2 linked regions of the Drosophila melanogaster genome follow. The protein of the gene in region 1 interacts with the protein of each later gene in a pairwise test. Each region holds a gene or a part of one and is shown on either strand. Other genes may lie near its edges.

Region 1 (3,756 bases):
TTCGCTAGCCTAAATGATACACGTCACGTAGACACAACGGCGCTTAATTTTAAATAATTTATTTTTGGAAGCCAAAAATAAACTTGACCGTCTTAGAATTACAATTTGGAACTATGCCACTGACTAGGAATCGCCACCGCCCCGTGCCTGAGCGTCAATTAGGCAGAAATGCTCCCTATCCGTAGACTTAAGGACATGCTTTGGTAGATATCGAAGCACGGAGGAAGGAACCTGGCTCAACATGGCCAAACGCTCCTGTTTGATGCGTTCCTCTTGCTCGGCATCGATCTTGGCCTTCATGTCAAAGTACTGAACATTTTCAGCGGTGGCCTCCGCCCGCTTCCGGTGATTATCCTCAATCATAGCAAGCAAGGAGGCTCCATGGGCCCGGCGTCTGCGATATTCATCCAGTTGCTTTTCGGAATTCTGGTTGATTGTATCCGGCGCCTCCTCCTGCCGCGTAGCCATCTCCGCCCGCTTCATCTGCATTTCGGCCATCTTACGATGCTTCACCTCCTGTCGATAGCGATCCAACTCCTGTCTGGTGCGCTGGCGAGACATCTGCTCCTGCTGCATCTGTTGGCGATAGCGCTCGTCACTCTTGGCCGTGTACTCCGCCTCCAACAGATCCAGCAGCAGATTGTCGCGATGCCGTTTTTTGTTCTGCAATAAGAGTTAGCTTTATTGATTGAATCGAAAAACCGCTTCAAGACTTACTTCGATTTCTAGGACTTGCTGGCCCAAACGAATGCTGATTTCTTGTTTTTTGCGTTGAATCTCCTGGCGTTCAGCCTCCAGCTGGAGTTTCCTGCGCTCCATGTCACTTTGCTTCTGGACTAAGTCACTCAACTCCTGGTTGTATTGAGCTCGCTGCCATTCTCTGAGTTCCTGGTTCTCCTTGATGGACCGCAGCATGTCCTGTCGCTTTTGTAGTTTTTTTCTCTGCGCCTCCAGCTCCTGGGCTCGATCCTCTTCCTGGATTTGCTTCTGCATCAGAAGGCTCAGCTCCCGGTCATTCATCACCTGAGCGTGCTCTTGCAGGCGCCGTCGGCGGTTCTCCTCCATTTGTTCAGCCAAGGACTCCCTAAGGCGGCGTTGTTCCTCCTTAAGAGCCACTTCCTTCTCACGTTGCCTGACCTCCAGCAGACAGCGCTCTTGGGACACTTCCGCGGCTTCCAATTTGATGTCTAGCTGTCGACGACGTTTTTTCTCCTCCAAATTCTCGGCTATATCCCTGGAAATGGCGGCTAGGCGCAGCTGCTCCGCCAAGTCGCGCAGTTCCTCGCAATCCCGCCGCAATTGCTGGCGACGTTTCCTCTCCACAAACTCCGCACGCTTAAGATCTTGCATTTCCTGCGTCATCGCTGCCTCCTCGATGAAGTCGCGGGTTATGGGACTCACTTTGGAAAGCTCCTGGCTGCGGCTCACCTCCTCCAGGTCGTACTGCAATTTTCGGAACAGCTGTGAGCTGAAAAAGTCGTGCTCCTTGCGCAATGAATGAGGCACCTGGAATAGCGGCTGTCCGATGTTGATAGTGCCACCTTCCTTGTGGTTACCACGATTTCTACCGGTTGCCATGGTGGTCAAAACAATGCAAACAGAAATGGAAACGAGAAACAAAATAAAAAAAAAAAAACCAATATTTATCGACTGGCTACTATGAAAACATTCAATGAACAAATTGTAGTATTTGATTTTATATTTACATTCTTAATTGTGGAGCTATTATGAGCAATATACATTTGGTCGCAATATATGTATGTACATACAAGCAATTAAATTCAGGTCCTTTGTCAATATTTTCGGTGAATGGCAAAAACGATCTTAAAATCACCATTCACTACGAAAGTTTTACTATAAAAGCAATTTAAAATTTAAAATTGTTGGTCATTAGATGACTATATATATTTTTATATATTTTTTTTCAAAATCATAGTTAACAAATTGAATTGATAATGAAGGCGAAAATGTTAAATGCGAAATGTTCTCAGTTGTTGAAGGCAGTCGGGAAATACTTCTTGTCCTTCTCCACGATGCTCTCCAGAAGATCGTCGATGTCAGTGTTGGGGTAGCGCTCCACCCATGACTGGATGTACCCCTCGTGGGTGGGCTCGTAGGTCTTCAGCTGGACCTTTTGGTCCTGGCCGATCGCCGTGTTGGCCTGGACGAGAATCATACGCGGCTTCTTGTGCGCCAGGCAGATATCCCGCCACTTGGCCCACGGATGCGATCCGCTCTCGTCGACCTTCGAGTAGTGTTCGTACATCTTGGAAGCTGCCTCGATGTCGGCGGTGGATTTGTACACCTGCAGCTTGGTCAGGAAATCGCCCAGCGCCTTCCTGCCCACGGTATCGATCTTGCTGCGATCCACCGTCAGCAAAAGGTTTTTACCCTTTTCGGTTTCCTCGACCTTAACGAGTCCTTCGCCTGCCTCCAGCAGCACCTTCATGATCACGAAACGAGCGCGAGAGTGCGCCTGGAGCCACAGCTTGGACTTCGGGTTGAACATTTCCAGAGCCACACCCATGCCGTTCCAGATGAGACTCAGCCAGTTGACATAGATGATGTTGTCCTGCTCGGCTTTGTCCTTGAAGCCAAAGATCTCCAGGATGTCACGCTGCAGGGAGAGATACAAGCCCACCGCCTCGGCGCGGCATTCCTCGTACGAGGAACCAATTGCTCCGAACTTGGTGTCGTAAGTTTCTCCAGGAAGATACCACTTGGTGATGGGTTCACCGGTGACCAGGTTCTTAGTGTTCTCCTTGTCAAAGTTGTACACACCATTTTCGTCGATGCGGAATAGCTTGCCACTACCATGGCCTAGGAGTTCATGGAGGCCCACTTGCACCTCAAAAGCCTTCACCTTGTACTCTTTCATCAGAGTTTGATCCTCCTCGGTGAGGAAAGGAATGGGATCCTTGCGGTTGATGTTGGCCAGCACATTGCCCAGCGAGACGTTCTTGAAGCCTTCATCCTGGCGGATTTCGTCGTAATTGGGAATATTGATGCCCGCTGGTACTCCGCTGCCGGCAAATGTGAGGACATCCAGGGATGTGAAGTCTGGCTTCAGGTAAGAGTCCTTCTCGTAAGGCTCCGTCCAGGGCAGGTACTCTATTAGTTTCTCGGCGCGGTTCACCAGCTCGGAGAATTTGGCCGAGCTCTCCTTGTTCACCATGGCCACGAAGCCCTCGAATTCAGCCCGACCTCCAGCAGGATCCCTGTATGTCTCAATGAAACCAATGTAGGTCTCGATGACAGGTCCCTTGTCCTTGATCCACCAACGCGATCCGTTCTTGTGCTCGTCCAGCGAGCCCTGTTCAAAGGATCGGACATAGTGCTCGATCATCTTGGACTCGTTTTCATTGGCTGCGTATTTCTGGGCCTGCAGCAGATGCTGGTTGACGCGCTGAAGCAGCTTCTGGTAATCACCGCGTGTCACCCTAAACTTGTTGCCATTATACTCTTCCAGCGGAAGTGTGATGCCGTCCTGCGTGGACTCCGCCACGGAGCCCAGCTTTACATCGTAGACGGTTTGACCATTTTCAACTATCTTGAAGGTCCGGCACATGTACGGTTCGATACGCTTTGAGGTCAGCCAAGCGTTCACGATCTCGGAGTCCTCCTTGGTGCAGTTATCCGACCAGTAGGTGGTGATTCCGTCGGGAGCAAAGCCCAGGATCTCGTTACGCGACTCGAGCGCATAAATCAGATTCTTGACCTTCTCGAAGATCTTGCCTACGCGCGGCTCATCGCTGT
Region 2 (3,756 bases), 720 kb from region 1:
GAATCCTTTGGGATATACATACCTGAATCTTTTGCCACTCCCTATCGAGCTCGGCCTTCTCGTTCTTCTCCGTCTTGTTCTTGCGCGTCTTGCGACCGTCCTGCATCTTGACCCCGTACTGGAAGGCTGCCTTGGGCAGCGCCTCCTTCGTGCTCATGTAGTCGGAGTACTCCTCCTGCGTGTCAAAGTCCCAGCGTCCAATGGGCCCCTTTTTATTGCCCAAATCCATCTTGGTGTAATCCACCTCATCGTCCGAGTCGTCGATGGCGTCGTTCATCTCCTCCAGCCCGGGATAGCATTCTGCGTATCCCTCGGGTTCAGCGAACCGTGCGGCCATGGCCTTCGATATCTTGGGTGGCGGGGGAATACTGGATATTATCGGCTCCTCTGATGCCTCCGGCGGGCCGTCTCCAAAGTAGGACGGGGCGGACTTGCCTTGCTCCTGGCGGTTTCGCTCAGGTCGCGTGGCAGAAGGTTGGTAGTCCCCTATATCGTCGTAGATATTATCGCCCAAGGGAGCTGATTTCCCTCCCATGTTCGATGAGGACGAGGTGGCGTGCCGACTGGAGCCACCATTGCTAGACGACCCACGAAGATTTTCCACCTCCTTTTCGTAGAACAGCGGTTTGTCCTTGTCGCGCTTTTTGTTCTTCTTGTTGCGACCACCGGCACGTAGATAGCTCAGGATTTGGGACAGCTTGTTGATCACAATGTCATTGGTGGTCAGCGTGGCAACATCCTCTTGTGACACCGGCACCTCGAACTTGGAGCGCTTCAGTGTGGTTGGAATATCCGACTCCCCTAGCTCGTCATCCAGGTCGATCACATAGGCCATCCGTCCTGGAGCAAATAGCTCATTGCGGGGAACTTCTTTCGAACGCCTTGCCTGCACTAGATTGTAAATATTGCGCGCTAGTGCACCATTGATTGCATTAATATCCTCCGACTCGCGGCGTTCCGCTTCCAATTGCTCAGCGGCGGCAGCTGCTTCGGCGAGCTTTTCCCTTGCCACAGCGGCGGCAATCTCCTCCTCTTCCGCTTCCTTCGAGTGCAGCTCGGAGCGCACTTTTTGCAGAAGGGCGTAATCAAGACCCTTCACCAAATGCGTATGCTGGATGTCTCCACCCAAGAACTTGGACTCCTGAATGATACGTCTTCTTCGCTCCTGGGCATCGATTCCGGATTTCATATCTGGCGCTACAGCTCGATACGCATTGGTGCTGCTTCCGTGTCCCGGCGTGCTCACGTTCACGTAATCTGGATTGGCACCATCGCGTCGTTCTCGTGCTCGGTCCCTGTACTTCTCGGACAGCTCTTGCAGCTTCACATCCTCCTGCTTCTTGAGCGCCGCATAGAAGTTCTTTTTCTTGCGACGCAGATCATTCCGCTCGCTGCTGCTCTGACCCTTCTTCTTTTCGCCACTCAATCCTGTCGTGCCGGGGGCGGTGGAGGGCGTGGCAAAGGTAGCAGTGGCCAGAGATCCTCCAGCGGAGGTGCTGCTCGTCCCGGAGCCAGGAGGAGGAGCTCGGGGCGTCGCTAGCAGCTTGCGGAAGTCATCGTTGGTTAGTCGCACCGAAGGCGGTGCTTCCAAGTGGGCATCCGACATGGCGAAGAAAATTCGAAGAAAACTCGCAGAGAAAATCTATATTTACAAATTGTGCTTCTTCTTGGTTTTGCCTGCCAGGGTTGGCTGTGTTTTTGATTTTTCTCCGTACTGTAATCGATAACATGTTTACAGTGATGGAAGATTAGCGTTTTTAGCGTTTTTTCCGAATAATTACGAATATTTGAAAATCGATTCCACATTTAGCATCACTGTTTCTCATAATGTATTGTTATTATTGTTAAACTACAAATGGAGCAGTTTCTTAAAGGTCTGCCCAAAGTAGAGCTCCATGCTCACCTCAACGGTTCCTTGGGCATCAAAAGCCTATGTGATCTTGGCGAGCGATTGTATGGAACCTCTTGTAAAGATTTCCTGAAGTTGTGCGCGCACTTCAGCCGATTTGAAAAGGATATGGATGCATGCTTCGAGAAGTTTGCATTTGTGCACGAGTTGACCTCCACCCGGGAGGGTCTGCGATTTGCCACGGAGTTGGCGATTCGAGATTTCGCTGAGGACAACGTCCAGTATGTGGAAATGAGGACCACTCCTAAGGCAAACGAGAACTATTCACGCAGGGACTACCTGCAGATCGTGATCGATGCAATTAAGGCAGCTAGCGAAACGTATCCAGAGATAACAGTCAAGCTACTGCCCTCCATCAATCGAGCGGAACCAGTGGACGTGGCTGAGGAAACAGTTTCCCTGGCTGTGGAGTTGGCACGGGCTCATCCAAATCTTATCTTAGGCATCGATCTTAGCGGTAATCCAGGGAAGGGGCGGTTTTCCGACTTTGCTCCTATTCTTGCACAGGCCCGGGATAAGGGTCTGAAGTTAGCTATACACTGCGCCGAGATCGAGAATCCATCGGAGGTAAAGGAAATGCTGCACTTTGGAATGTCCCGCTGTGGACATGGAACTTTTCTTACTCCCGAGGACATTGGGCAGCTTAAACAACGAAATATTGCCATTGAATGCTGCCTCACTAGTAATGTTAAGTCGGGAACAGTGCCCAGCTTGGAGGAGCACCACTTGAAAAGAATCATGGAGGCAGATGCACCCAAGGTTATCTGCACGGACGACAGTGGCGTTTTTGATACCACTTTGACAAAGGAGTTTCTGATTGCTGCGGAAACTTTCGGTCTAACCCGTGAACAATGCATCGATTTGACCTTGGAGGCAGTGCATCATTCATTCGCCAGCGAACAGGAGCAAATACAGATGGCGGATAGGGTGGGGAACTACGCAGACATATTGGTCAAATAAAAAAACTGTCACTGCCCTAATTGAAATAAATAAGTTTTTGTATGTAACACCATATATGTACCAACCTGATTCTTATTTGTCAAAAATTTTACCTTTTAATATCATTCTTTTTATTCAATATGTAGAAGTATTTAGTTACAAGTTTGTTCATTAGTTATGTTCATCCTTCGTACGTACATATGTGGCTAATAAGTTTTTATGTTTTTCTCATTTAATATCATTCATAATTGAATTCAAGTTTTCTGTTCATTACTTTATGTTCTCGTTTCTGCCGTTCTGTGTGGCTTAGTTTGGGGGTAGGCATTCAAAATACAATGGAGTACAAGCTTTGGTCAATAGTGGGCTCTTAAACTGCACCAAGTGAAGTGGACGATCGAAATCTAAGGAAACCAAAGTAAGACTTAAATGATCGAAATCTGTAGTTTAATAGCACATTTTGAAACAAACTTTTTGGGTGAAGACATCTTTATAGTCGGACCCTCCACCTACCCAAGCCTGCAGATTAGCTTTCAGTTGAAGTGGTTTGCCTGCCTGGTATTCCCTATATACAGTTTATCTATATTTTATACTTTTAGTTTGGTTTTAGCTTACTGCTGTGTTTCTACATGAGTTTTACTACTTTATCCAGTTCATTCCAAATGTCGAGCTTCAAGAAACGACCGACTTGGGAGTTTATTTATATTGTATAGAAGTGTTTTTACCTCAACTAGAGAGTTCAATTACAAATCTATATATTTATATAAAGGTTTACATTTCTACACTTTGGAAAAATTCTACTAGTTGAAAATGGTATGGTATGGATTTTGCTGTTGTATTCGACTTTATTTAGGAGTTCGGGCATAGGGTTTTAGTATTCTTGCTTTTAAGTATGTATAATTTTTTTTAAA

Evidence for each region.
Region 2: the proteins of CG7352 (region 1) and beag interact in a two-hybrid assay, tested with the Drosophila melanogaster proteins (one large-scale study listed by BioGRID).

The regions. Positions count from the first base shown.
Region 1 is NT_033777.3:8,345,586-8,349,341, reverse strand, and holds CG7352 (uncharacterized protein), read right to left. Parts: upstream 1,624-3,756; 5' UTR 1,579-1,623; coding exon 718-1,578; intron 664-717; coding exon 124-663; 3' UTR 46-123; downstream 1-45. Other genes in the region: DppIII (dipeptidyl aminopeptidase III), read right to left, coding at 1,988-3,756.
Region 2 is NT_033777.3:9,063,384-9,067,139, forward strand, and holds the start of beag (beag), read right to left. Parts: upstream 1,696-3,756; 5' UTR 1,607-1,695; coding exon 23-1,606; intron 1-22. Other genes in the region: Ada (adenosine deaminase), read left to right, coding at 1,856-2,869.